Oreochromis niloticus: one gene and its partners. Each later gene encodes a partner of the first gene's protein in a complex. Links are inferred from orthologs where the notes say so. Each region holds a gene or a part of one and is shown on either strand. Other genes may lie near its edges.

What was found.
Region 2: uri1 (region 1) and asdurf share a complex: the UniProt entries of both Homo sapiens proteins name them as parts of the PAQosome complex. The link is inferred for Oreochromis niloticus from reciprocal best matches to the Homo sapiens genes URI1 and ASDURF.
Region 3: uri1 (region 1) and polr2eb share a complex: the UniProt entries of both Homo sapiens proteins name them as parts of the PAQosome complex. The link is inferred for Oreochromis niloticus from reciprocal best matches to the Homo sapiens genes URI1 and POLR2E.
Region 4: uri1 (region 1) and dnaaf10 share a complex: the UniProt entries of both Homo sapiens proteins name them as parts of the PAQosome complex. The link is inferred for Oreochromis niloticus from reciprocal best matches to the Homo sapiens genes URI1 and DNAAF10.

The regions. Positions count from the first base shown.
Region 1 is NC_031972.2:60,922,632-60,930,147, forward strand, and holds the start of uri1 (unconventional prefoldin RPB5 interactor 1), read right to left. Parts: upstream 3,005-7,516; 5' UTR 2,677-3,004; coding exon 2,605-2,676; intron 2,557-2,604; exon of another isoform or gene 2,527-2,556; coding exon of another isoform or gene 2,479-2,526; intron 2,283-2,478; exon of another isoform or gene 2,115-2,282; coding exon of another isoform or gene 2,052-2,114; intron 1,918-2,051; coding exon 1,883-1,917; intron 1-1,882. Other genes in the region: zgc:112052 (protein C19orf12 homolog), read left to right, coding at 5,686-5,845, 6,003-6,268. UniProt on the Homo sapiens protein: Involved in gene transcription regulation. Acts as a transcriptional repressor in concert with the corepressor UXT to regulate androgen receptor (AR) transcription.
Region 2 is NC_031987.2:6,963,850-6,969,885, reverse strand, and holds asdurf (ASDURF protein), read left to right. Parts: upstream 1-3,836; 5' UTR 3,837-3,968; coding exon 3,969-4,043; intron 4,044-4,236; coding exon 4,237-4,290; intron 4,291-4,454; coding exon 4,455-4,530; intron 4,531-5,428; coding exon 5,429-5,469; 3' UTR 5,470-5,487; downstream 5,488-6,036. Other genes in the region: asnsd1 (asparagine synthetase domain-containing protein 1), read left to right, coding at 5,488-6,036.
Region 3 is NC_031986.2:39,882,818-39,890,530, forward strand, and holds the start of polr2eb (DNA-directed RNA polymerases I, II, and III subunit RPABC1), read left to right. Parts: upstream 1-4,704; coding exon 4,705-4,878; intron 4,879-5,162; coding exon of another isoform or gene 5,163-5,255; exon of another isoform or gene 5,256-5,315; intron 5,316-7,713. UniProt on the Homo sapiens protein: DNA-dependent RNA polymerase catalyzes the transcription of DNA into RNA using the four ribonucleoside triphosphates as substrates.
Region 4 is NC_031978.2:9,086,794-9,094,583, reverse strand, and holds the start of dnaaf10 (dynein axonemal assembly factor 10), read left to right. Parts: upstream 1-4,778; 5' UTR 4,779-4,865; coding exon 4,866-5,051; intron 5,052-6,142; coding exon 6,143-6,243; intron 6,244-6,495; coding exon 6,496-6,626; intron 6,627-6,749; coding exon 6,750-6,851; intron 6,852-7,790. Other genes in the region: RNA-binding protein PNO1, read right to left, coding at 1,276-1,343, 1,955-2,025, 2,537-2,654, 2,794-2,854, 3,181-3,264, 3,378-3,524, 4,294-4,491. UniProt on the Homo sapiens protein: Key assembly factor specifically required for the stability of axonemal dynein heavy chains in cytoplasm.

The DNA of each region.
Region 1 (7,516 bases):
ATAATCGAGATCTCAATTTCAGTGAAAATAATCGTGATTATCATTTTTGCCATAATCGAGCAGCCCTAGTATCAATAATAACAAAACAGGGATTTATCTCACGTCAGGTCCGTGAATGCTAATAGGAGCATGAGGTAGATATTTATCACACTCTGCACGCCCATATAGTCTTTAAAAGCCCTAGTTAGTGGAAATGAAATCACCTGTGTGAGTCTGTCGAGACTTACAGGACAATGTTTACACATCTGTTATAAAGAAAATGTTTTATCACCCTTTTACTGATAAGTACTCTCTTTCATTTTACACATAATGCAAAATAAATGTAATAACACAAAACCTACATGCACTTTTCTTATTTTAATCAATAATACTTAAAACACTGATGCTAACACCCCCTGCTTAGAATCAATGGAAATGCATTTACCGTAGCAAATCTACCCTGTAGTGAAGCCCCTACACAGTCATGGTCCACTCACACAGGTGTTTTTATCTGTCTCTTAAGAGCTCTACTATCTCTTAATGTCTCTCTGTGCATACACCACATGTCAATTCCCTTAAATGCGTCAATACTTTTAGCATCTTTTTTTTGTTAGCAGCTCTGCTAATCTATGTCTGCTTACAATGCCTGTAGTATAACAAGGCACAAAAACAGACTACTGCCACTGAAACAAAGTAGTAACTTCCTCAAATACGACAAATGGCAGTGTGAAATATACTATATACACTTAAATATTGGGTCACACCTTTAAATCTTTGAATTCAAGTACTTAAAATCCATCACCTAAACATCCATTTACAAACATTTGTGAAAGAACGGGTCTTTCCAAAGACTTCACTGAATTCAAGCGTGGTACTGTCATTAAATTTATTTCCTACTAGATAGAGTAAAAGTATTTCGGGAACCATTCAGGAAGTGGCAGACTATGTAAAGTTTCAGAGTGAGGTCACTGAGTAATGAAGCGCATAGTAGACAAAAGTCGTCATCACTCTGCCGACTCAGCAGCTACAGACCTCCTCTGGCATTAAGATCAGCACAAAAGCTGTGCGTTCGGAGCTTCATGGCACAGGTTTCTATGGCTGAGCAGCTCCCGTAGGTGTAATGTGTAAGTGGCCCAGTATTTTTGTCCATATACGGCATCTCTGCATGTTTCCCTTTTGTAAACTACTTGCACGTGCACATTTAATAAAATAAGCCAGTTTTCTTTTAATCAGCTGTGCTGTTGCAACACAATTTGTGCTAAACAAATACATCTAAATTTGTTGATTTCACATCAGAGTGAAGTCTGTCCTTGAAGACCCACAGGTCATAGCAAGCAAGGACTGACGAGTATCAAGTAAGAGAAATGAGATGGACCCACCCTCCCTGACATGTTACTTCTCTGATAATACTTTGTTCTATTTATTAACCAAATTCTGTTAAGGTGCTTCCATGTCACTAACCTGCTGTTTTGCATCACAGGCACTGTTTATTGTTAAATACTCCAGGGTTGTTGACAACACTAACAGTAACACCTACAATAAAAAGTCAAAAATCTGTGCTGTGAAATGGGGCCTGCTGGAACCTGAGCAAAGGTCAAACACTTCATTAGGAAATAAAAGAATATCACCGTGTGGGTGTGCACAAACTTGATAAGCAACTGATGTTTTCTGTCAATTTAGAACATATTTATGACCCTAAAGGAATCAAATTTTGGTTATAACAGCGTGTTTGTGCAAAATAGGGCAAAAAAATGGGGATGTCTAAACCTGATATAGTAAACTTCCAAACTACACTGAAGGAATATTAGAACATGAAGAACCTACACAGTGTACTCAGTTAATGCAAGCATATTTTAAAAACAACCAACTTTGTGCTCAAGTTCATTGGTGCTTTCATGCTTACCAGTGTTGAATCCGACTTTCACAGTCTTTCACCACCTGTTTCAGGACAAATAATTTTAGTAAGAATCAAGCTGATAAATCTACGCAACTTACACAGTCTTCAGGTGGAAAATCTAAACATTTAAAGCATCTGTGATAAAACATTCATTTCACCGAGGCTTTTACTTTACCCCGGCTGCAGACACAACTGCCCAGAGGCACGAATTTATATGTAATAATAGTTTGAAAGTCATCACACACAGGGAAGTAGGTCAGCAACTCCGAGGAAGTAGGACGAGACAAACACGGCTGTCAAAAAATTAATACATTTAAAAATGAAGCAAAAAAACTGAAATAAAAACACAGTGTTTTTGTGTCTAGGTGAAATTTACTTCCCAAAGTAAAGAAGCAAACAGCACTGGTATGAAATTCTTTTTTTTTTAATGCCAAGAAACGAACCTAGCTGAGCACGCCCTCCTACAACATTTAAACTTGAACATGTGAGTGTCTGCAGGAGGAGGAAGCTTCTCGAAAACTGAAAGTCAAAACAACAAACACTCTTCGTGTAACCTGTGAAACAATAATGGCACAAATGTCTATATCTGCTGTAAAAGGTACTTCAGCAAGTCCCAGCAAGTGGTTCCAAGACCTTTCCCGGTGCACCATGTGGCCAGTGGCAGACGGTGGCTTGGCTAACGTTGCATACTAGCCAGCAAAACGTTTCGCGACAACTGGTGATATTACCTTTTCGTGCTCCTCTCGGAGCCTGATAACTCCGCCGAGGTGTTCTACATCCACTTGACCCTTTTCAGCCATTGTCAACCCACTTGCACAAAAGAAATTTCTGGTGTTTCGTGACCCCAAAACAAAGCTCAAGGGCTGTTGTGAGTCCTAAAGAAGTGTTTATGAATGCAGCAGCAGCTATTCCTGAGACCCGTTCTGCTCGTATTCATCAATGGGGCAGTGATAGTTATCCACACTTTCGGAAGTGATATCATCTCACACTCTCATTTCAGAATTTCTGCATGATTTCCAAAAATATCCACAGTCTGAATATCCGAAGATTAGCCAATACTCCTTGTCACTCTCGCTGCGCCATGCACCTCCGTCCAACTCCAAGAACTCAACCGTTATTCCAGGGTGGTATCCGGTCTGAACTTTCAAAATAAAAAACTTCGGTTGTATACTTGGTTTAGCATTAACAACAACAACAACAAATACAAAACGTAAAATTAAAGAAAAACAAACTAAAACAATTATACTTTTGGTGGACAGAAGTGAATAGGAATAAATCTGGTAAAATTACAGTCACAACAAAGTGCACACCTTGTTGTGGCTTCTTTCTACTCTCAAGCCCATCCTCCCAGTTTCACATCAGCAGGTTTTTCGTAAGGCTAAAAAATCAGTCAGTGTTGGATTCACACAAGAAGTAATTCAGCTTGCGTATGGAAGGTTAAGGTGTGGAGGTCGACTGGGCCACTGCAACACCTTGAGTTCGACAGACTTAATAATTGCAAGGCGCACACATCCTGTGACTACAAATGATTACATTTAAAAAGTGTGTACTTTATTTTTACCATGACTCCACGAGTACTTCAAAAGTTTTAGCTTTTAATGCATCTCTTTCCTTTCACATTTAATGCTTTTATTATCAATCTCAAACATTACATTTTCCGTTTTGGTTTCAAATGAAGCGAGCTTGATGCAGTTCTTCCTCCCAGTGTACTCTGGGTAAATATGAACGTCTGCACAGATGTAAACAATCTAAAGCGAGGTAATGTTGTTCCACCTGCATATAAAAACAAAGTGACAAGCACATCAGATTTGCACATTCAGGCACTATTTAACTAGCAGCAGGTGCAAACCTCCCCATGTTCACATTCCCGATGCTGCACGAAAATTTACAGATATTATTTAAACACACATCACATAAAACCCTATAAAAGTATCAGAAGTAACGAGTGAATCAAACACGGCAGTTGAGTGAGTTTGGTTTAATATGATAACAACAATATAATTTATCCCCAAGCTCCCAATCTTCCTGTGTGGCAGGCATTAAATAGTCTGTTTTTGTTGCTTTTAATTGCTGTTGGAAATATGAGAAACACCAGTTATAAACAAGGTGTACACAAGGGACAAAAAAAGAATGGCTAATAATTCAGAGTTTACCCTTTAAAGCACAGTGAACACAGATTATTTGGCCTGAAAATCAAAGACTATTTTCAACTGTCCAATGATATTTTAACGTATTTAAGTTAAGAATACGTTATAATGGCTTGATGCCATATATGCTATATTTATAAACTCACACGCTGTTAAAATGTACAATTTGTAAGAAAAATATAACAATACTAATTTAGGCTAGTCTAAAAATATTATACATTGCTGAAACTTGTATTGGAATTTAGGCTGAACACTCTATTTTAATTCAACTGAATGTGGTTTACACGTTTGTAGTTTTTGGACTTGAATGCAACTTCCTAGCCATTCCCATCAGGCATTGCGACAAGAGTCATACAGCAAGCTTCATATATCATGAGGTGCATGCGGAGCCTGGCCGAGCTGAACAAATAATGAGAATGACATAGTAAAACCAGGACCAGTAAATGTCGATAAGGATTTGAATAGACAGCAAGGTATGTTCCAAGCGGTTACTGTGGATGGTGAAGCAGCTATGGCTTTAATTTGAATTGACAGAGTTTTGTAGAAATGACAGAGCTGCGCAGTCTGTTATGAAGCTTTTGATTGCTTGATCGCCTTAACAATACGAAAGCATGCGGGAAGAATATTCATAATGTTAATTGTTTGTTTTTTTCAAAAACTGTTTTTAGTAAAGGTCGCCAAATTCAGCATCAGTTGAAGTGAGATAAGGGCTCACGGTGATTAAATTGCGGCTGTATGGATAGATAATACTATCAGTTTAACTTGCATTAAGCCAGAAGTGTCATAACACAAGAACACTCACCAAAATGTATTAATTATCAACAGCCCAAACCGTCCGTTTGAGTTGTTAATGACTTTATTATTCCTAAACTTCAATGTGTAATTATGGTTTATTTAACCATTTATTGTGACGAGAGTCTCTGGTGTCATGGTTGAATTTAACTGTAATTAAAAACACTCTGCATATAATTATAAAAATCAGTGCGTACAACAGCTGACAGTAAACATAGTTTTGATTTTAGTAGAAGTGTCAAATTCTTATTAACAGAGAAATAAAAATGATGCGTTCACGAGTCAATCCGAGGGCGCATGCTCGGTAAAAGTATGACCGTTTACGTCAGCATACCTGGAGTGTACATAAAGGCAAAGCATTTTAAAAACAAAGACCTTTGTAACCTAGCTTTTCGAGATACCGGTCATTGATTTTTTTTAACCTATTTATATCACTTCTACTCATTGTCTCATATTTACCTTTAACTTTGTTCTGTTTTATTTTTAAGCTTAATGTTATTTTTTCATTGAGAACTGATTTAATTACGTCTGAAGTTTCTTATTTTAGCTATTTAAAATGTTAAATGTTTTATTGTTAAAGTTTACCAAGTAATGTGTGGAATTTAAGATGAGTTAAGCTGTGTTGGTATTTTGTTCATTTATTTAATTTTGAATTTACTTTTCAATTATAACCTGCTGAAATGTTGGCAATGTTGCTGCTGTACTCAATCTTGTGAAACTGAAAGTATTTAATAAATTATGAGGGAACACTTCTAAATAAAAACACAATTTCAAATCCTTTCAACTTTTATGGGCCTGTGTTGCTGAAATGTTGAATAAAATTGTCTAAATTGTGCAATTGTTTTATGAATCGCAAATCTAATCCACAGTATGTCTCCACGAATGGATGATGTTATGAAGCTGTGTTGTGAGTTGTCCGCCAATCAGCAAGTTAAGACCACAGTAAAAGGTTCTGGGAAAGGAGCAGCAGCAGCTGGGGCGCTGGCCTTTGCTGGAGGATTGGTTGGGGGTCCTCTCGGCATAGCTGTAGGTGAGTGGAACAATGCAACAGTTCCTCTATCTTTAGGAACCATTTCTAATCATATAGATTCATCATAAATGCTGATGTATTGGAATTAAGCTGTTTATTTTGGAGTGATCAGCATTATTGCTTTATCTCAAAAGTTTGAAATTTTGATCTTCTGTAGGAGGGGCTGCTGGAGGCCTTCTGGGCTGCTGGCTGACCAGTGGTCAATTCAAACCACTTCCACAGATCATAATGGAGCTCAGCCCTCAGGAAAAGCAGAAGCTTTATGATGATCTCATGGAAATCCTGGGAGACATTCAGTGGACTGATTTGGCTCAGCTGATTGCTCTAGTCATGGGCAACGCAACTCTGAAGCAGCAGCTTACGGCTGCTCTTCTTGGATACATCACCAAGGAGCTCCAGGCAGAGGTGCACTATGTTGATTAGTCGCTTTCAATATTGTGACACAGAAGCCTGATTGCAGAGGAGGATGTTCTCTGATGAGTGTGAACTGCTTTTTGACACTTAAAAGATTCTTAATTAAATTCTGTATGATATAAATGTTAAATATGTCGATGAAAACACCTGTATGGCTGGGTAATTTATTTTGATAAGTGCAATTATTACTTATTTATTGTATCATTTATTCTGTCTTTAACTGCACCGATCATCAAGTCTGGCTTTAAGTCATAGTGAATTTTGGGTTTCATGGAGTTGTGCATTTACTCTGTTTTTGTCCAGTCTACCATCTTATTTACATAAGAAGGATTGTGAACTGACTAAGCCAAAATTCTTCTGTGTAATATAAAGATTTGATATAATTACATCAATTACCAGCCTTTTTACATTTTAGCAGATTTGCCAGCAACTGTATACAGCGTATTGTACACTTTGAATAAAAAATAAAACCAGTGTGGACTTGGCATTTGGCATAGCAGTCTTCATTCCTTGGCATCGAATCCATCTGGGCATTAACATTGTAGCTCTGTCTTTTATTAAACTTAGTACTAACACACTTAAGCTAGCATGCTGGGGTTGGCATAGGATTCTAGTAATCTGAAGGTCTGTGATTTTATCCTAGCTCTTCCAGTCTGTATGTTGAAGGGTCTTTGGGCAAGATACTGAACCCTAAGCTGCTCTTAGTGCATCCATGAGCATTTGTGTGAGTGTGGTGTGTGCGTGCTTATTATTCACATGAAAGTGCCCGAAGGCATAAGACACATAGACTATAGAATGTGTGAATAAGTGCATATAGCATGTGGAGTAATGGTTCAAGTGTTCAAAAAGACATCCATTTAACTTCCATTTTATTGTGATTCTGCTCTATTGTATAGACATATACCTTCTCCATTAACCTTTTATCAGCCTGAATGAAGAATAGCCTTTAAGAAAGTGCCTCCAGACATCGTTAATAAGAGAGTTGGCTGTCAGATAATTAAATGTATGTACAGGTTAAAATTCACACTGGTGTATCAAGTTATTTTTTAAGCATATGTATTTTTAAATATAGTGTTATACACCTGTTGTGGGTGTTTTGGTTCTGTATTTTACATGGTTTCATTCCTGCTTTAGTCATTTCTGATAAAAACTTAATTCTGGTCTATTTGTCTTTGCTTTTCTACTGTTGTGTCATTGGCCCAATAATAAAGTGGTGAAAAATGGTTTGTGTAAGTAGATTAAGTTCTTTATAAGATT
Region 2 (6,036 bases), on another chromosome or scaffold:
ACTGATCTTCTCGTTATGATCCAATGTTCTGCTGGGACACCTGACTCCCGGCTTTCATTTAGATATTACTTAGACAAGCACTGTCCACCTAAAATGTGTTGCAGACTAACTCTGCACTTGTATGGAAATAGTACCCGCTGCGAGTCTGTGGTCTCCTCCCACAGGACAATGTGTACTCCTGCACCTTAAAACAACTCGAGGAACATAACAAAGATGTCGTACCTACATGTGGCTCTTTTGTCCTTATACTGCGGCTCCGGGTGGTTTGGGAAAATAAATTAGAAGTTTTTAGCTGAAGTGTATTTTATTTGTGTTTAAATAAAGGTCTAAATTGGAAGATTATTGTGATATTGAAATATAAAAATAAAATTATATTTTATTATTTTTCATCGCTCAAAATAAGCGTCACACTCGCGGAAGCCGGTATACCCGCCGAAACGCCGTGCATTTATCGAGACTTTCAACCCCAGGTAGGCCAATTATGGATCTTCGGATCCACATTATGTCAGCAGCTATTCTCCACCGTGAACTATGTTAAAAACAAACACCGCTCACACCTCACAGACGACAGCTTAGTTCTGCTTAAAGATGAAAGTGACTTCGTACAGCCCCGATTTGCAGACGCTGTGCGCAGAGGTTCAGGAGCAGAAGTTCCATTGTAAACATACTACGGCAAACCCGCTGCTTTTCAGCATCTCTTTATTGACCACTTTTCACACACGGTTGCTGTACGCATACAGCCGGCTGCAGCTTTTCAGCTCACAGCCCGACAACACAAGAGCAGAGAGCACAGACTTTAAGGCTGCGAGGCGTGATTGCGGGTGCAGCTCAGGTGCGTCCGACTCCCATGCAGCGGCACTGCAGACCACGCCCCGCCACACACATTAACCAGATAAAATGCATATTTAGGCAGAATTTTGCAAATATCTATTTTTCATTTTTTAGCAGCATAGTGCTTTTTTTCCAATTATTTTTTAAAAGTCAGGTCAAGGCTCCAAAAGCCCAAAGGTGGTATAAGGGAGGCGGCTCACAACAGTTTTTGTTTGCTACATGGATCATTTTAGTTCAGCTGGGTGTCCTTCCTTTTGTTAAATTTCTTTAAGAGTTCAAAATGTGTTAATTACATAAATAAAATGTAATTTTCTCTGTAGCACTTCATGGATTTCATAAGGAACACACTTAAGCTGTTCACACAAAGCATAAAGGTAAAAAAAACAATATATACAGTGTTATCTTCATTTTAGATGTCAAAACGTATTTGCGGCTCCCAGTGTTTTCTTTTGCGTGGAAACCGGGTCCAAATGGCTCTTTGGGTGTTAAAGGTTGCAGACCCCTGAGATAGACCAAAACTGTTTTTTGTAGCAGGTTGTAAACTTGTTTATTTCTGCTGTAGAGTTGGGAGTCTATGCGACTTGACTAATTTGTTGAGGAAGTCTCAAGTGGCCACTAGAGGAACTACAGTTTTTGGCCCCAGAGCACCACCCAGCATTCCAGAAGACCCAAAGGGGATCCCCCTGAAGATGCCACCCCCCGGGAGGTCCTGTGTTTAAGAATACTTTGGTGGTTTTAATGTTGAGTTTTACCATGATAACTGGTAATTACTAACAAATCCACTAATTTACAGACACAAAGAGAATCAGTGCAGCTTCTTTTAGCCCAGGTTCCTTCCAGTGGAATAATCCAGCCCTAAATTTAACTCTTAATGTGTGATCCAAGCAGGTTGGAGGTTGGGTTATTTTAGGACGAAGCTCTGTGAATGCACATGAAAACAAATGCAGTGCATATGCACTCTGTGCTGTCTCATTGCATGAGGGAGCAAAACTGACAGCGACAGGTAACATAAGCACGTATTTTGAGCCAGGTGATGACAATAGGCGCTTCAGTTCCTTTGTGATCTTTTTCAGAGCGCTCAACCGTCTCAAAGCCTGCACACACTGAGCCGCTACAAACAGATTACCAGCTCCACTATTAGTGGGCCGCTGTGTCAGGTAGCTGTCATCAGCGGTCAGGCGGCTGCTCTGTCATTTTGTGGCCATGTGACCTGCAGGTACGTCTGTTCCTGAAGGGATTCCGGGATGTGCAACAACAAGCTCTGTTTACATCGGCTAAATTTGTACTCCCTGGATAAAAATATGAGGATGACCTGCCTCTTGTGGCCCAAAGTTGTCTCACATTTACCAGCCGCAGCTAAAGAAGGGATCCAGGTGCAAGATGGGAAATCTCTTATTCATCTATTCTTTATGCTTCTCCTCTTTTTTGTGCTCTGTTGCAATGAAGGTATTAAAGAACAGCTCAGTCATATTTCAATAAAGTCTGATAAAATCCGAATACCCGAGGCCTGGCTCTTGAGGTCTCAAGGTCACAACACCTGATACAGAAAGATGACCAACCATCTGAGTGACCAAAGAAACAATGGTCGTAATCACCGTTTTGGGAGCACAACAGGGCTGTGGTCAGTTTAGTTTTTGTGGATATAAGGCCAAAGAGTTTTATATGTGCCTGACAACTCCACCACAGAACAATAAACATCAAAGGTCACAGTCTGGCCGGCTGTGACAGCCTGCGGCCGCCGTTCCTAAAATGACAGCCCTCGCTTTCAGGGAATGAGACTGCAAACATCTGACAGCTGTTTCCGATCAATAAGGCATTGCAGCTGAGTGGGCAGTGAACCAACGTGAGGCTTCAGGCAGGTGTGTTTGTCAAGTTTAAAAGGTGCTTGACCAGCTGCAGGAGCAAGAAATCAGCACTGGTGTCACTGAGGGGGTTTCGTTTTTATCAGCAGTGGAGTTATGCATGAGCTCAGACTGTTACAGCAGCTTTTCACTGCTCTAAGGAAGATCGGCCCACTGCTTTGGTTTGATTTCAGATTGCACTGGAGACTCCTAATGGCTTTGATGGTCCATAACGACAGTAATAAATATTTGGCCCAAATGTCATTAGGATGAGTCTAGCTACCCCAGCAGAGCCACAGGTTCACCTTTATAGACCGAATGTCAGGTGTGCTGTGGCATCGAGCCCACCCGACATCTGCAGTAACCCAGAGCTTGTGATGTGTGATCTGCATATTTGGTAACTGAAGATGTCCAGATTAGACCCAAGTGTGTCTGCTGTGTGGGGCAGGTTGACATCTGTGGTTCTAATTGAGAGAAAAGTGACAGTCATACCTAGACCTCACTTTCCCCGGGCACATTCTCCAGCTTTTTTAGGGGGGTCTAAGCCTGCTGAGAGACATCATCGCTCCTTCATGACCTATTGAAGGGTTTCCTACCAGTAAAAAAAATGCCTAAAACACCTCACCTGGGAGGAATCCAGGAGGCATCCTGGACATACATCACCTGAACCACCTCAGTAGGCTCCAAATAAGGCTGACTTTGATAAAAGTCTAATGAAATGAACATCGATAGACAGCCATGTTTAAGTGAATAAAAGGACTTTGGCTTATTTTGAAACTCTGACTGGTCTTGGTGCACATTAAAATAATGTTAATTGGATAATGCTTCACGTTAAGTCCCCAAATAAATGCCAGGAGTTTCAGGCTGACTACCTTTGGTGGTTGAAGAAAGTCTTGGAAGCTTGTGGTGACCCATTGATGTATATGGTGCATCCAAGTGCATTGTGGGATGGCAAACATGGCATGAAGAAACATATAAAAAACATAAATAAATAAAAGAAGGAATCATATCATATTTAACTGGTTTGCTCTGGTAAAAAAAAAAAAAGAAAAGAAAAAGTTAAAAAAAAAATAGACCATGTACAAATTAATATCTGTATTTTTTGATACAGATGAATGATACAGTTGAATGGCTGTATTACCGCCCACCAGCAGGAGGCAGTAGAGTTCAAACTGTGTAAACCTTCAGCACCCGGAAAAGCTTCCTTCTGGTTAGACACATGAGTTTACTCTGAACCGGGTTCGATTTTATTAGTAAAATCTCTGGACAGTTTTTCCTACGTTTCTTCGCACTATCATGTCTTCAAAAGGCTGCAGCAGTGACGAGCAGTTTGAAGGACAGGCCGCAGTAAAAGAAGAGCTGAACAAGAAGGTAGCGTTAGCCCAAACATGCTAATATGGCTAATGTGGCTGTAACAGACCACAGGATGTCTCCCAAATACATAGGTTTTTGGTTATTTTCGTTATGTATAATTATTCTGCCGCTTCTGTTAGCTTTATGTGTCTTAACAGATTCAGATAGTGTAGTTTTTATCGGTGAAACTTTCCGTGTTGCCAATTTACAGATTAAAGAGCAGAAGGTGCTTGTGGACGAGCTCTGCAATCTGAAGAAAAACAGGGTGAGTGGAGGAAGTGGAAAAGTCTCAAAATTTATTAGATCACATCATTATCTGTGCAGTTATGATGGGAAACACGCAAATCACATCCCTATGTTGTCAGGCTGGTGCAGTCATGTGTTTTGAGAGTGTAAATGTGGGTTAATGCAGATTGTTTCCCCCCTCAGAAAGTCTACATCCAGCAGAGGAACAGTAACATCTTCTTCGTAGGAGACAGAAGTCAGACACTCACTTCCTGCAAAAGTAAGATGAGAGAAGTGTCTCTGGTTGAGAGGTGAAAACTTCCGTGTTGGAAGTAAAGATGAACAAAAATTCTAAAAAAATTTTTTAACTGAGAGTTTTTTTTCTGAAAAATGTGATACATCATGTGACAAACAGGGTAGATTCCAGATTAAGATGCAAAAAACAGATTTATCCCGCTTTGTTTATTTTTTAACATCCATCCATCCATCCATCCAATCGTTTTCTGCTGCTATCCAGGATAGTGGGAGACTGGGGGCAGTAATCTAAGCAGAGAAGGCCAGACCTCCCTTCCCTAAAGACCTCCACTTGCTAATTTGGAAGAAGACCAAGGTGTTTCCAGGCCAGCTGAGAGATGTGATCTCTCCAGTTTGTCCTGTATCTATCCCAGGGCTTCCTCTTATAAGGACATGCCCAGAACATCTCGTCCAGTCCAGAGTTGTTCTGATCAAAACTCCATTAGATTTTCAAGAATATGTCGATCAAACTTCAGGCGTCGTTATCAAGACAAGCTAAAGATTGAAAAGTCACCGGCATCACTGTGGGGGTGTTTCTGAGCCGCATTGTTTATTTTAGGTTTATGCATCAGAAACTGCTCAATAAAGGACTTTATTCAGACGTAGGTTTGAGAAATATTTGCAGTGAGGTAAAAACAAACACTGGAAATGTTGGAAAGTCTTGTTACTCTTGGTTGTGTCAGTGCCCGGCTGTTTTTCTGTTCTGTCTTTGCCGGCTTTTCCTGTATTTACTCATTTTGAATTTGATGCCAGTGAAGTTGGGAACGGGGTCCCCGTTTTTAAAAAAAAAAAAATTAAACACTCAGCAGCGTGTTTTATGCTATAATAGGACTGTAGTGAAGGCTCTTATGGCTTATGTAACTAGTGCATTGTTCTGTTTGCAGAGGAGCTCGATTATATGAAAAAGGAACTTCAGGATATCTGAGGCCACAGCAACGCCGCGATGTGTGGGATCTTCTGTGCGCTGAGTCTGGCGTCCGCTCACTCTCAGTGGAACCAAAGAGTTTATGAACATTTAAAAAGGAGAGGGCCCAATTCGAGCCGGGACCTCACCATCACAGACTCAGATCTCAGCTATCGCTGTTTATTCTCTGCTCACGTTCTTCACATGAGAGGTCTTCTCACTGCTCAGCCGCTTCAAGACAACGCTGGAAACATCCTGCTGTGGAATGGAGAGATTTTCAGTGGCCTGCCGGTGACGCCAGAGGAGAACGACACCGCGGTTGTAGCTCAGCGGCTATCATCCTGCAATGCCCCTTCAGAGATTCTCGCTGTCCTGTCTGCTATTCGTGGACCTTGGGGGTTTGTTTACTACCAGAAGGCAGGAGACTACCTGTGGTTTGGCCGAGATTTCTTTGGTAGGCGGAGCTTATTATGGACATTTGACGCAGAGGCCGGTGAACTGACTCTAACTTCTGTGGCTGCTCACACTTCTGGTCCCAAACAGTGCGTGTGGCAGGAAGTCCCGGTAGCTGGTGTGTTCAGGGTTAAC
Region 3 (7,713 bases), on another chromosome or scaffold:
GGTCTGCCCTGCCTGCGATGCAGGTTGATGAACAGACCGTCACTGGTCTGGGATAGACCCAAACTATATCCACCGGTGCTTGGAGAGGCAGAGAAATGTGGGAAAAAAGAGTATTGGAAACGCAAAATCAAGTGGATGCAAGTAAGCACGGTTTCAGGCATCTCTTAGAGGTTTAAAGGTATTTGGGAAGATCCTTCTCCACCACCTGGAAAGAAAGCGAGAGTTGCATGGACTTCAGTTGCATGTCTATACACAGGGGTGATAAAATTACACGTACTATAAACATCTCTTGTTGTTTCTGAAAGCACAGCAGAGCTCATCACGGGGTGAGCAGTAATCACACAGACACATGAGCAATGAACATCTGACAGAACAACCAGGTTTTGTACGTACACTTGGATCATCCAAGGGTCCATATCTCTTCACCACCTGACCCTCTCTATTGATCAAAAACTAAACACAAAAAAAATATAAATGAATAATTATAACATATTTTTGCATATAAAAGCTTGTTCCATTAATTGTTGCATACTCTCCATCATTATCCTTTATTCTTCATACTGTTTTTCAAATAATCAGAGTTTTATATTTTATAATATTTTAGCCCTGTTGACATAAAAATGTTTTAAAAATAAACCGTAATAAAAACGTACCTTAGTGAAATTCCACTTGATGCTACTACAGAAATAAACACAAAAAATGTGTTAGAAAACTAATAATCGCTCTCATTCAGTCAGCATTGGAATAAAAATGCTGTTAATCAATAACTGATTTAAATGATATGACCGATTCTTGTTCAAATTCAGTTGTACACGTTTTAAACAGATAACTGTATGCATTACGTCTGATCCAAACAAGCTTTTAAGATACTTTGTGACCATATGACTGTGACCCAGATTCATTCATTCACAACTTACTTCCCAAACAAGCCCTTTCCGTTAGGCTGTTCCTTCAGCCACTTCCACAGAGGATGAGCGTTTTGGCCATTCACCTCGATCTTGCTGAACATATCAAACCGAGCGCTGAACGTGTCTGCAAACTGCTTGATTTGAGTTTCATTGCCCGGCTCCTAAAAGTAAATAGTATTAAAAGTATTGAAGTCTCTAACTGCTCTCAGTGACCTGCATATGACAAATTAAATATACTGGGCACCAAATGTCATGCCTAGTTTCTTTCAAAACAAGCCATCATTCAGACTAGTAGTGAGAAGATTGCCAAATTATCCATTTCAATGTTAATGCAACTACAATTTATGCCTATGATTAAACTCTTAATGAAATTATGAATGCTTTAGATATTTAAAAAAAACATTTCAGAAGACCTTATACAAAAAACTATAAAGGTTTCACACTGCCTAACATTTCACTTACACAGTTTTCATATTTTATTTTCTCTAAATTTTTTCAAAACTGTGTACAAATCTATTCTCACCGACATCCATCAAGCCTTCCAGTCATGTTCCTATTTATACTCTAAAGATTTTTCAGAGGGGTAATTTAAAAAAAATGTTTTTTTTCTGTAAAACTTTTAAAAAGTTATTGTCCATCTGTTAAAAATGTATTGATTTATGGCACAATAAACAGTAAAAGCATCTGTAAAAACCTTAACATGTATCACATTTGTGTTCTGGAGAAGTACAAGTCCATAAAGTCTCCATATTTAAAGAGATAACACCTAATTTGCATAAAACATAATTTAATTTTATTTAATTTTATTTATTTATTTAGGACAGTGCATGTTAATGAACATAAATGTAAAAAAAAAAAAATTACATGAATGTAGACATGCCAGATTATAGCCAAGGGCTAATTTCCATCTGTTGTAAAAAGCACAGCAATATAAAAACTAACTTTAATCAGTCATCTGGGGACATTTTTTTTAAATTACCCATTCACTTGCAGTGCCTCTCATTATTATAATTCGTTTTTCCATTTATATTTGGTTTTAGTGTTTATAAAAACACTATCTTCTCCATCTTGAGAGCTTGAAAAAACAAGACAACTGAACTTCTTTAAGTTTGTGAGGACGGTTCCCCTCTCATCCAAGAGGCTTCTTCAGGTCTAAAAACAAGACCTGGAGTCCCCTAATGGGGGCTGTCATTATTGGAGATGGTTCTGAGGGTTTTGACCCCCTATTGATCATGTTAGTCGTTACATGAGCCACGGTGTAAATAAAGGTGCAGGCCATTACCATCACTGGGGGTTAAGGGTGAAACCCCATGAGGGGTAAATATCTGGGACTTTCCACCATTTGTTTTTAGACCTGAAGAAACCTCTTGGGTGAGAGGTGAAACGTCTTTACAGATCTCCAGTTATCCATGACCTGGATAACTGATAACTTACACAAACAAATCTCAGTAAATGTTGCAATAAAAAAAACAACTTATGTTTTACATACCTGGTTCCCAAACTGGTTGGAAGGGAAGGCAAGGATGCTTAAACCTCTCTCAGCGTACTTGGCGTGCAACTGAGTAAACTGAGAGTAGTTTACTGGGGTTTTACCTCATTTAGAGGCAACATTGGTGATGATGACAACATTCCCCCTAAATACACACACACACATGCACACACATTTTATTAGTGATAAGAGGTTTATAATTGTAATAGGAGGTTTTAACAAAATGACAGAGAAATTTACCTGTATTTTTCAAGGGAAACCACGTTGCCATCGATATCCGTTGCTGAAAAGTTATAAATGGATGTTGCCCTCTGCCATTCCTCTAATGGGGTAGACTGTTTTAGAAGGAATAAAAACAAAACAATAAGTAGTTAGAACACCGTGTTATTTCCAAAACTCAACAGCCTATCAGATGTGAAGAATTCATTTTAAAAAGAAAATGTAATGAAAATACAAAAAAAAGCAATACAACATGAAAATAAACATAAATCTATGGAGAGCAAAAGCAAAAGCAAAGGTTAGCCCTCAAAGGCAAAAGTAATGTTTCAGTCCTAATCCCGTTGTTTCTTACCATGGCCGGCAGCAGGACAGAGAGGAGCACTGTGCACCCTATCAGGCGCATGGCTGCCCTAGTTACCTCCTCTGTCTCTAAAAGTATCACCGCTGAACTTCTGTCCCTGTACTGAGAGTACTCATGTTCTACAGTGCTTTTGTAAAGGGAAACCAGGTGATCATTAACTAAACTGATAGGCTGTGATTGTCCAGTACCTCCCTCTGTGCTGCTGATTCAGTAAAGCCAGATCAGAAAAGCACATGTGCTGCAGTCCACAGTTCACAACTTAGTCCGTGTAGAGCAAAGAGCAACGGTCGGAAGAAAAACCAAAGCTCATTATGCATTGTGTTTAGTATCTGAGTGAAAAACTGGTGATTTGCAGCAGATATAAACTTCTACATTACCCTAACAAGACTGCATTTCTCTCGTTCTATTGTAATGAGAAAAAACACATTTTAAAATTTTAAATTTACATCAATCAGCTTTAAGATTATTACATTTTTTCACATTTTGAATGGAAGATGTGAGGACGAATCAGAGCCAGAAGCTTCAATCACACCTGCTTTTTATCTCAGTACGCAAAGAGTATCAAAAATATACATTTTACAAAATAAATAACAGTAACAGTGATTTGTTTAGTAAAACCTATTGAATAACAGTTGCTGAGTTTTACCTGTTTACGTGTGTAGCACAGGTTGCTTTGAGTCACTGTGCAGATGTTACACAATCTCTTTATATTCTAGTGTGAAATTAGAAACCAAGTTTTATGGAGAATTATTTTGTGCATCAATAATCTCTCAATATTTTGTAATATAATATAACTGCCAGTACTGTTAATCCAAAGCAATTAAACAACTAATGTGGCTATTTTGAAATAAAAGGGTTGAAAACCGTTATCTTGCCTGTTTTGTAAGGGTCCAATGGTCCATGAGCCATTACAAAACGGCTATGCGAGCTAAGCGTACAGACCTTTGACAAAAATATTCCAAAGAAATGAGTTTGGCAGACAACCTTCTTTTCTTTGTTCTGATATTTTCACATTTGCTTTAGGCTTACACAAGATTATGGTTTAAATGCACCCATTCAACAATGCTAACCATGTCATTACATGAGAGCCTACTTTTTCCCACCACAAAGTTTATAAGCGAACTTGAAACTTTATGCAGGGAAAAAAAATCATTCTACCAAATAATCATAATCTCAGACAACAAGAGCAGAATTGTTACAAAACTGGTGATTATGTTTTGTGAGCTGGAGTAGAAGAGCTAAGCAGAACATTGCGCCACAAAATAAGAGATGAGGCAACATTTTGCTCTGATTTTCAGTAGTAAAGATTATTTTGTCCAGGCAAGTGTGCAGGAAATCCAGATCTTGATCAAATTTAAACTACAGTGTTTCATTTAAGAAATAGTGTGTAGTCATAAAGTTTTACTTTTTGTCAGTTTGGACTGTTGAGGCTTGGGTGCATTTCTTTATTACAACTCAGGAGGTCTACATGATCTGTAATTGTAATTCCTCTTTTAACTTTTCTAAATCTTGCCCTGATAAAGAGTAAAACGCCAAATCCAATGTGGAAGCTAACTCATAATTACACTGAAAACAGAAAATAACAACAGACAAATAAAATGTAATAATAATAATAATAAGAAAATGAACTCTGTTCTTTCTCCACTTTTTATCCACCACTAATATAAACTGATGCTGAAAGCAAACTTTTATTCTTTAATCATAAAACATCAGTTACAATAAAAAACATGGCCGGGTGTTGTGTCCATCCAGACGTGCCTCTCTGTCTGTCCCTGATGATAAGCCTATCAGCTGACACCAGCAGCCAGAAGGGGAGCACAAACATCCGGTGTCACAAACAGCACTTATATGTAATGTATTTTTTTCTTTTTGTTTTTCCACCCTCCAAATTCAGTAAAAAGGTATGTGTCTAACTGTGTGGGGAAAAAGCAGAGGGAGGGAAGGATTTGCGAACTTTGTGGGCGTCCGTCCGTGTCACGTGTGTTAATCAAAGCCCACCACAAACACGCAGAGCATCTTAGGTAACAGCCATCGTTGTTTACGTGAAAAATGGATTAACGATATTATTACAGCAGTAAAAAAAAAAAAAAAAAAAAAACCATGTTAGATGAAATTGTGTTACACGCAGTACAAATCACAGACGTCACTAAAACGCATGCAGATTAAATGGTTGAGTTTACGTTACCGTTGTGGTTAGTATAAAGTACAACACCATCGCCAGTACTGCCACAGAGCTCGCTACAGCCCCAGTTGCCAAAATAACATAAAATGGCCTCATTTTGTTTTAAAATGAGGTCAAATTTACCACCGTGAACCTCAGCTGCAGACTCCGCCCTGCAGCGTGTTGTGAAACAGCGGAGGGCGGTGGCCTCAGAGACCAGAGGAGGGAGACGGGACAATATTATTGTGTGGATGCTTTAAGGCATCCACACTATAGTGTTCCTGTTTCTCTTTATTCTTTATTATGTGTGCCTATGCCAAGAGGCACACATATTACTATTCCTCGGATTTATTATTCTTATTATTATTATTATTATTATTTTCCTTTTTCCGCCTGAAATTTTGCAGTGTATCTCGACCCGCAGTTTTCAGACAAGCTTCATATATGTTACCTCATTTTGTGCGGCTGGATCTGGAATGGTGTGCTATGACTTTTGGTGTTTATGAATATTATAGTTTTTTAAATATTAATATTTTAGTGAAAATTTTCCCGCGCTCCTCTGCCAAACAGTTTTGACAATAGGGGTACATATGTTACATCATTTTGTGCGGCTGGAGCTGGGCTAGTATGGTGTGACTTTTGGTCTTTATAACTTTTATAGTTTTTGAAATATTTAGATTTTAGTGCAAATTTAGGCCAATTTCTAGGCTCCTGAGAAAGATTCTGCTTTTGGCACCATAGAAACAGACTTCATTTGTGGTGTGTTGGCTCTCTCTAGTGGTATACCGGGAGTAGTACGGCCTAAAGGGTGCCATGCTTGGTGAAAACTACATATCCCACAATTCATAGCATGCCTCTACCGAGTCAAACAATGGCGGACACCACTTCGTTTTATATGTCTTTTATTCGTGTTTCTAGGTCACAAAATACACTTTTAAGATATTTTCAGGCGAGAATGTAGGTGTGTAAACTTCAAATATCTGCTCGTTTTATCAAGACATCCCATATTAGCGACAATTCCCTTAAGTGTTGCTGATAGCCGGCTAGCTAGCTAGCGCCGCTAGCTTAGCTAGCTAGCGCCCCTTCGTGAAAAACCACCCAGGCTTGGGTGATAGTGAGGTGGCTAAAATTTGTTTAATCGCCCGATCGCTCGGCAAGGGTCTGTGTCTTAGCTGGACTTATTTTTCGTTTATATGGGCCGATGATGCTGGTCGATGTGGAAAAAATAACTGAGTTGTTTGGTGGTGGAGCTACAACAGAGGGCAGCTATCCACCGGTGTGTGACAGAAAGGACATGCCGCGAACGAGACATACAAGGCGGTGAGGCTACCGCGGATCGACCGCTGTTTGCTAACGCGGAGGTCAATCGTGGATGAGGAAAAGCGAAGGCAGGAGCGTGAGGTGAACTGAATTTCAGGTAAGAAGTTATGACCTGCACTCTATTTGGGTCAGATATAAACCGAGTTTAGGTGTAGTTTATTTAGCAACAGTTCTCTTACGTGTTGCTGATAGCTGGCTGGCTAGCTAGCTAGCGCCGCTAGCTTAGCGCGGCTAGCGACCCTTCGTGAAAAACCACCCAGGCTTGGCTGATAGTGAGGTGGCTAAAATTTGTTTAATCGCCCGATCGCTCGGCAAGGGTCTGTGTCTTAGCTGGACTTATTTTCGTTTATATGGGCCGATGATGCTGGTCGATGTGGAAAAAATAACTGAGTTGTTTGGTGGTGGAGCTACAACAGAGGGCAGCTATCCACCGGTGTGTGACAGAAAAGACATGCCGCGAACGAGACATACAAGGCGGTGAGGCTACCGCCGATCGACCGGTGTTTGCTAACGCGGAGGTCAATCGTGGATGAGGGAAAGCGAAGGCAGGAGCGTGAGGTGAACTGAATTTCAGGTAAGAAGTTATGACCTGCACTCTATTTGGGTCAGATATAAACCGAGTTTAGGTGTAGTTTATTTTCGTTGTGCTGACTTTTTCAATCACTTACAATAACTCGTACTGCGTGCTAGCTAGCACTACGGAGTTTGTATACAGCTGTGTGCGGGCTAAGTTACCGATGTTACCGATGTTGAACTTTATGACAGCCTCCCCTGTCATTCTCTCGCCTGTTGAAACTTCAGTCATGAAACTGATCAATGATCGGCTTTTCTCTCTTGTTTGTTTATCGCGCTAAACAACAGCAGCACGTTTAAGCTTGATCAGCTGTTGTTAGAATTCTTTTGATTTTAATTTCTAGTATCAGCTGATGTTTGCTGGAGCATGAAGATGAAATCAGGAGATGTCCTTACTGAATCATCAGAGCTGAACTGGTGATGGAGAAACAGGTTTACCCTTAGGTGACATGAATGAGTTGAAGGGAAGTTATGAACTGTTTCTGACAGACAAATATACACCAAGCTCCTTTTTTTGTGTAGCTGACAGCTGGTAACTGTGCAGGGGCGGATCTAGCAAAGCTTTTGCCAGGGGGCCAGGTAGGGCATTAACAGAGAAAGGTGGACACAAAGATATACTTTTCTTTCTTACTCTCATATAAAATATTTAGCTTTTATTAAATAGTTATCTGAATCTTACAAC
Region 4 (7,790 bases), on another chromosome or scaffold:
GTGTGCAATGGGTAGACTGTAAATTGTAGTTTTTTGTTTTGTTCTTTGAACGTGTACATTTCAAAAGTTGGCTTCTTCTCCCACTTCTTTTTTTCTGTCACAATCAATTCATTTTCTCACCTTCCAACCTACTAACAGGGAGAAACAACATAACTTCAGCCAGATTTTTATTTTCTAGGGAAAATGCTTCCTACTGCAAACAGCATTGGGATAGCTTTTTGTTTTGCTTTTGGAGGTCAACTGCTGGTTTGAACAACAGTTTTCAGTCAAGAGATGTGCATCTGGAGTGCTCTATTTTTCCCCTATCCCAAAGCTCTGCACGGCTTGGGCCTCCCTGTGCTTGCATGACATGGAAGTATATTTTTTGTTGTGCATGTAGATCAATTTTTTGAAATAATCCTCTTGTTTACACATGGATGGTGATGTTAATATATTTAAGAATTTAATGGTATACAATATGGATGTTGCCAAACTTTGGTAAATGTACACATATTATGAGAGGTAATCCAACTGAACTGAACTACATGTAACTTTTTGTATTTTACCCGGGTCAGCGAGATGCTTCGATTCCAGTAAAAGTTGCATATCTGATCCTGTCTCAAACTGCCACACACTGTACTCAGCTTAAAGGGGAAAATTTGATGTTTTTTTTTTTTTTTTTTTCCTTTTGTATATAAGTATTTGTTAAATGCAGTTCTGGCTCTCTGTTCTCTGTATAGTTCAGACCGCGCTTTAGTTTGTAAGTGCTACTTTTCTCTGAGGGACTTGGGTTCTTTTTAGTTTGTGTGGGGATATGAGAAGATTTAAGTTTGAGAACTTTTTTTTTTTTCCTTTTTCTGCATGCTGCATCTTATGCTGTGGGACTGTTGGAAACTTGATACTGTATGAAAAATAAAATTTAAATAAACTTTGAAATGTTGAAAGTATTCTATTTGACTGTCCTTTTTTTTTAAAATTTTAAACCTGACCAAGATGTGACTGACTAGACTTGTATCTTCATTCACCAGGAAAGAAGAGTACACACATGCTTCGTTTAGTTTTTTTTAAACACATTTGCACAAACACATACTTTCAGATTCTCTTAATGCACGTATCATAATTTTATTAATCATATTTGATACCAGCTGATCCAGAAACCATGAGATCATTACAGAAGAACCCAAGGTATCAGTCCAAAGGGCAGTGACGGTCTCAACTCAACACAGATCCCACATAGGAATTCCACCAGCCAATAGGGGAAGATAAATACATATGGTAACCAATCATGGTTCAGGTTTAGAATCTCTCTGCAGTCCTGCTAGCCACCACTCTGATGTTGCCATAGACCTTTGAAGGTGGACTTCCTGTAGGGGCAAAAGGGATTTAAAGGTCACTTCTCAGCATTAATGTGTAAACAAAGAGTTCAATTCCAAATATGGTTAGTGCTAGATTCGATGGATTTGCTGTCAGGTGACTGATGCTCTCAACACTGGAAAAGGCTGCACAGCAGTTAAATAGGTCAGTTCTGGACTTGGCTAAACTGTTTGTTCAATGTTTTAGGGTTGTTTTCTTTAAGCTGACTGTCAGCTTATAAAAAAAAAAAGTAAGAAATTAGATTTTTGCACTCCTTACGGAAAACAGTGTTACAACAGGTCTTTTTAAACATTCCATGGTTTCATCCCAATGCTTGATTGCCGAGCCTCTTTTGATTTAGGCACTTTTACTGCTGCATTTAAATATATATCAGATCAAAACTGAAATCTATAAAATAAGAATTCACAGGGGAGTCTTATAATCTAAATTTCAATGTTTAAATGAGTACCTCAAAGTGAATAAATATCACCATTAGTACTTGTACTTCTCAGGGAGTAACGGTATTTGAGACAGACTGTCCACCCAGCTCATCCAATAAAGCACCACCTCAATAGCATCAACCACATGATATACTGTGCTATAAAAACAATGCTCGTCTTACCTAAGATTAAGTTGCATATCGCTGTCCGGGCCATCTTGATATTCTGGAAAGATCCTAATACGTGAACTTTTCTGTAGACAGACAAAGCAGAGTGTTAGCCGTTTCAGTGAAAAATGAATAACAGGCACATAACTAGAAAACATACTGCAGGTATGGATGTATGCAAAAGGTTGTGTATATTGTCTTTAGAGTACCCACACAAACTTCTGCGTGAGAGGGTAAAATATAATTTGTGTGAGGAAAAACTGTTAGTAAGTAATATATTATGATAGTATGTTTATGCACTTATTGACAAAACAAATCGGGCCAGTTTATTTTATTTTTTTAAGTTTAATTACAAAGAAGTAAAGCTCTTCTTTACAGAGTTTCTTTGCAAGATCTGTATTGGAGTTCAATATTTATCATGACTAAAACAATGCAAGAGAAAAAAAACCAATCAAAATGTTTGATTAATGCTGCAGTGAAACTGTGTCAACTTCAAAAAGGTGGTTAAGGAAAATTAATAAGGGATTAATAAGCAAATGATGTGGAAAAATAATTAGTAATTTTACTGTAACATGTCAAAATACTGGATTTACTCACGTGTCTGCAAGCACAATGCGAGTCTTTGTGACGTTTTCAATGGTGAATTTGGTTTTTCCTCCCTTCCCTGCTATTCTTCCAATAGCTCTGGATAAGTGGTCTCCCTTCAGAGGTTTCACTGCCAAAACATGGGAGAACAATTAAATGGATCTCGAGAGGTTGAACATTGTATTCTTCACGCAGCAGGGAAAGAGAACTGGTAAGAAATTATGACGACTCTAACAGCAGCCACAAGTGCTACGGAGGTGGAAACTCACCGTCTGTGACATCAAAGCTTTCAAGGAAGAGCTCATCTAATCTAATGAGAGCCAGAGCATCCTGAGGGGAGAGAGTGTGAATGTTACATCACGAGTGACAATCCAGCAAGGCTCAAAATTAACAATCAAATACTGTCACAGCTTCTAAAGATAATTTACACATTTAGACAAAGCAAAAACAACTACAAGTCACTTTATGGAGGCTACTGACAGGGAGGAAACTTTTATTGTATTAATAGTAGATTATATAACAACACTGAGCTGAAGTAAGTGTCAGTCAAGTGTCTCTAATACTGTCCCAAAACTTGACTTTTGGCTTGACAAATACACATTCAGTACAAAAGCAGTCAGGCAGAATTAAAACATGCAGAAAACTCATGTACTTACTTCAACCTGAAATCCGAGAACAAACGCTTTAACAAAATCAGCCGCTCTTTGGAGTGAGGTGATGTCCTGTGTTTCTTTACATGTCTGAAAGAAAGAAGGCATATTAGTTATATCAGAGATGAAATACTGTATATAAGCATTGTAATAAATAGGCTCAGTCAACTCACCAGAGTCTACATGAAATGGGAGAAACCTACCTTGATTTCAACATTCCTTGTTTTGAGGTTGAATCTAACTTGAAGTTGTAGGTTCTCTACAATGGGAGTGAAAATCTTCAGCCAGTTATCTTTCAGCGGTGTGTATCTGTGAGCTGGAACTGGGATTTTGCGCATCTCATCTGATCCCTTAGAAAACAAACAAACAAATACACAGAACATTTCTGATCATACGGTGTAATGTTAGCAAAACTATTCTATGACATTTGGTTAGGATTTATCAGAAAACATCTTTGCTTTGTAACCCGAAGTCAAAGCAATGCTGTAACGAATGTAACATGTTTACAATTGTTTAATGTGGTGATTCTTTTTTTCCGCTTAACTGTCTGATCTTTAAATCATCAGGAAACAGTGAAAAAAATTGTCATCATAACAGAAACCACTAATCCACAACAGAAGGAGAAAGAGAGATTGCTGAGTACATATAAACAGCAACCCCGGGTTTCTATTGTGCCTGACGGTGCATTTAATTACTGAAACATTCATATGCACTCTTAATTTCAAAGTTTCTAATTAATCCTCGGAGTACTGGACTGATATTAACCACGAGTCATTTATGCGTTTTGTTTTCCTAACTGTATTTTTACTTTAGTAGCCAGTGCTTTAAACAGTCAGAGTACTGTGTAGTGAAATCATAAGTATTATAATAATAGTCACGACCTACACACAGTATTTGTTGTGTATTTGAATATTCTACTTGGGCAACCACACTACCACAACAGCAGCTTTATTTAATGTATTCACATGACTACACCGCGCGTGCGCATAATAGTTAATGGTTCGGTCGGGGAAGCTACTTTGTAAACATTACAAATAACATTAAATGTACACTTATTGGTATTTATTTGACAAAACCGAGAGAATACACAGAGTCTATATATACTCATGGTGTAGTTACCCGTAATTTGTCTCCTGAAATGGGCGGAAACTGCGGTCGTTTGCTTGCCACGGGCTCCTCTGTGTCCATGCTCGCTCCATCTTGTTCACGTTTTCGCTTCTGAGACTTTTTCGACTTAACCTTTGTGAAAGAATCGGCGTCATCTTTGCTCTCCTGGGGTGCTACAGCGTCCGGGACTGGGTTTTTGTCGTTGTCCATCTCGAAAAATGTTTTTAAAATCAGACTTTGAGTAGAAACCTAAGCAGACTGTGAACGGAGACGCGTGAGCATGTCCTCGTGGGACGAAAAGGACCCAAACAGCCACATCAACGACGCCTGTAGATTGGGAGGTAACAAAATTATATTATTATAACTATCTAGGATGTCTCTAGTTGTCTTTAGAATTGAATGCAGGCTGTTTATATATTTTTTCATATAATTTTTGTACCAAAATACATAAATATTTTATTGAAAGATACACATTTTGTCAGGCATCTGTTAAGGCAGCCGCTTGCTCAGCTGTACCTAGTTTGTTTTGGGAGAGAGCGACAGTTGTCTACTTTTTCACGCCGATACCAGTGTTTCTCAGAAAAATGTCATCGCCGCTGTCGAAGCCTCAGATTATTACGCATATTCAGAAGAGTTTGAACTATACGGTTTTTGACAGTAAATGGATTCCCTGCAGCGCGAAGTTTGTCTGTCTGGGAAACTTTCCTAGTGGAACCGGAGTGATTCAAATATATGAAGTTCACCAAGGCGAGGCTCAGCTCATAAAGGAGGTACATTAACGTTCTACTCTTGTGGGCCGTTGTTCCTTTCTTTTCTCTCAGAGATTTCATACAAACGGCGTACAGAGCTAGCTAGCCCGTCGAAGATTTCTAGAAAAGTCTGGCAAGGATGTTTCCATGACAACAATTTGAAGGCAGCCAGTGCCCGTTCAATATTGTTCTACTGTAGATTATCCTAGGGTTGGCATACTTTATCCAGATTATACTTAAAAAGCAAATACTACAGCATCACTTGCAACGAGTAAAATATTGCTATGCTGCCACCAATGTATCGTACTACAAACAAAACTTACTGTTGTAGTTTTGCACCATGGCATGTGTGCCAGGCATCAAGATACAGATAAAGGAGAGCAAACGTAACAAAACGTGCATAAACATGATTCTTTTATACTTATCTTGCCTGTTTGTTTCAAATGTAGGTAGGTCATTTTGCTGCTAAAGCTTGAACCAAGAGTGCCTGCATGAGACGGTGCTGTGAAAAAGTATTTGCCCTCTTCCCAATTTCTTATGTTCTTGCATATTCGTCACGCATGTTTCAAATGATCAAGCAAATGTTAGTGTAAGACAAGAACGTCTTAGTTAAGGTCAGTGTTCATGATTCAATGATAAGAAAGAGAATCGGTAAAAATGGCATCTATGGGAGAGTTCCGTAGTGAAAACCAAAATGAACACAAAGGGCCATCTCACATTAGGTAAAAAACAAAAACAACAAATTGATGTTCCCCATTATTCTGTGAACTGACAAAGCGAAGTTGAACTTTCTGGGAGGTTTGAATCATGTTACATCTGGCGTAATACTAACACACCATTTCATAAGAGAACATCATACCAAACAATCAAACATGGTGGTGTGATGGTCTGAGGCTGTTTTGCTGCTTTTGGCCTGGACGACTTGAATTAAAAGATTCAACCAGAAAATCCTAAAGGAGAATGCCTGACTGTCAGTTTATGCCCTGAAGCTCAAGCTCACTTGGATCATGAAAATACATTTTCACTGCACTCCTTCCACATTGCTTTTCCATTATATGTTGAATTGTCCCATTCACGAAACTAAACAAACTCTTACCTCTGATATGTTTCAGGTAGAGAAACCTAAAGCTATAAAGTGTGGAACATTTGGGGCCACGTCTCTTCAGCAAAGACACATAGCAACGGGGGATTTTGATGGAAATCTCAATATATGGTATTGTATACACCAATTATCAGTGTTGTGCCTGTAATAAGAAGAATCAAACTGGGAAAGCAAGGCTTAAATTCTATTTTTAACCAAAAAACATTTCTTATGTTTACTGTAGATCTTATATTCAACGCTGGTTCAGTCCCAAAGACAGTTATAATTCGAATGGAATTAAAAAAAATGTAAAGGAAATGATATTTTAAAAATACGTTACGTCGACATTAGACTTATTCAGTACTGATGTCCTGTGGTTCACAGGAATCTAGAGACCCCGGATGTGCCCGTATATGCTGTAAAGGCCCACAAAGAGATAGTGAATAGTATTGATGGTGTTGGTGGTCTGGGGATTGGTGATGGTGCGCCTGAGATCGTCACCGGAAGCAGAGATGGTAAGAGCATTTAAAAAAACAAACAAAAAAAAACTAGATTGTAATTACTTTTCAGTGCAATGATAGTGGGAAAGTAAAGTACATGAAAATAAGACTAGATCCTACATGATTGTCTTTTAATAGGTACAGTAAAAGTGTGGGATCCGAGACAGAAGGATTCCCCTGTAGCCAACATGGAGCCAATGGAAGGAGAAACCAAGAGGGACTGCTGGACTGTTGCTTTTGGTTTGTAAAATATTCTTCAGAAACTAAGTTGATAGTGCTGGTGCTTCACCTACTTCCATGGTGTGCAGAAAAGAACATGAAGTCTGAAGAGGTTTAGGCTCCTGCAATAGTTGTGGTAGTATAAAGGACACTGTTACAGCTTGTGGCCCTTAACAGGGTCCTCACAGAACATTATTTTCTTAAGGGCTGAAGTACCAACATCCACAAGTAAAGTTTAAAAACATGGTCTCCACATTATCTGTATCCACAGGGACAGGAATGTAATGCATTTGTTTGATAGTGATAAGAACTAATACAGTCATGGGTTATATTAATACTAAGAAGCAGTAAAAAGATACTTATCATATATTCTATTGTGTGCAATTTCAGGGATTTCTTTATACCTAGTAAAGGGGATTATTTCTCTGAATTTCAAACAGCAGAACACAGCCCAAATGCTAGCTAGTCCCTTGGTCAAAGGTACAATGTAAGCAGAGAACATTCAAACTCCAGAGAGAAGCACCCTGTTCTGGGTCAGGCAAAGGACACTCTTGCTGTGAAGCAACAATGCTAACCTATCAGCCACCATAAATAAAGCTGCTGTAATGCACTGCATATAACTGATAAGACATGACAAACAAGGCACGGTGGTTAGCACTGTTGCCGCACAGCAAGAAGGTCCTGAGTTCAATTCCACCATCAGGCCGGGGTCTTTCTGTGTGGAGTTTGCATGTTCTCCCCGTGTTTGCGTGGGTTCCCTCCGGGTACTCTGGCTTCCTCCCACTGTCCAAAGACATGCAGCTTGTGGGGATAGGTTAATTGAATAATCCAAATTGCCACTAGGTGTGAATGTGTGAGTGTGAATGGTTGTTTGTCCCTGTATGTTGGCCCTGCGACAGACTGGCGACCTGTCCAGGGTGTACCCCGCCTCTCGCCCTATGACAGCTGGGATAGGCTCCA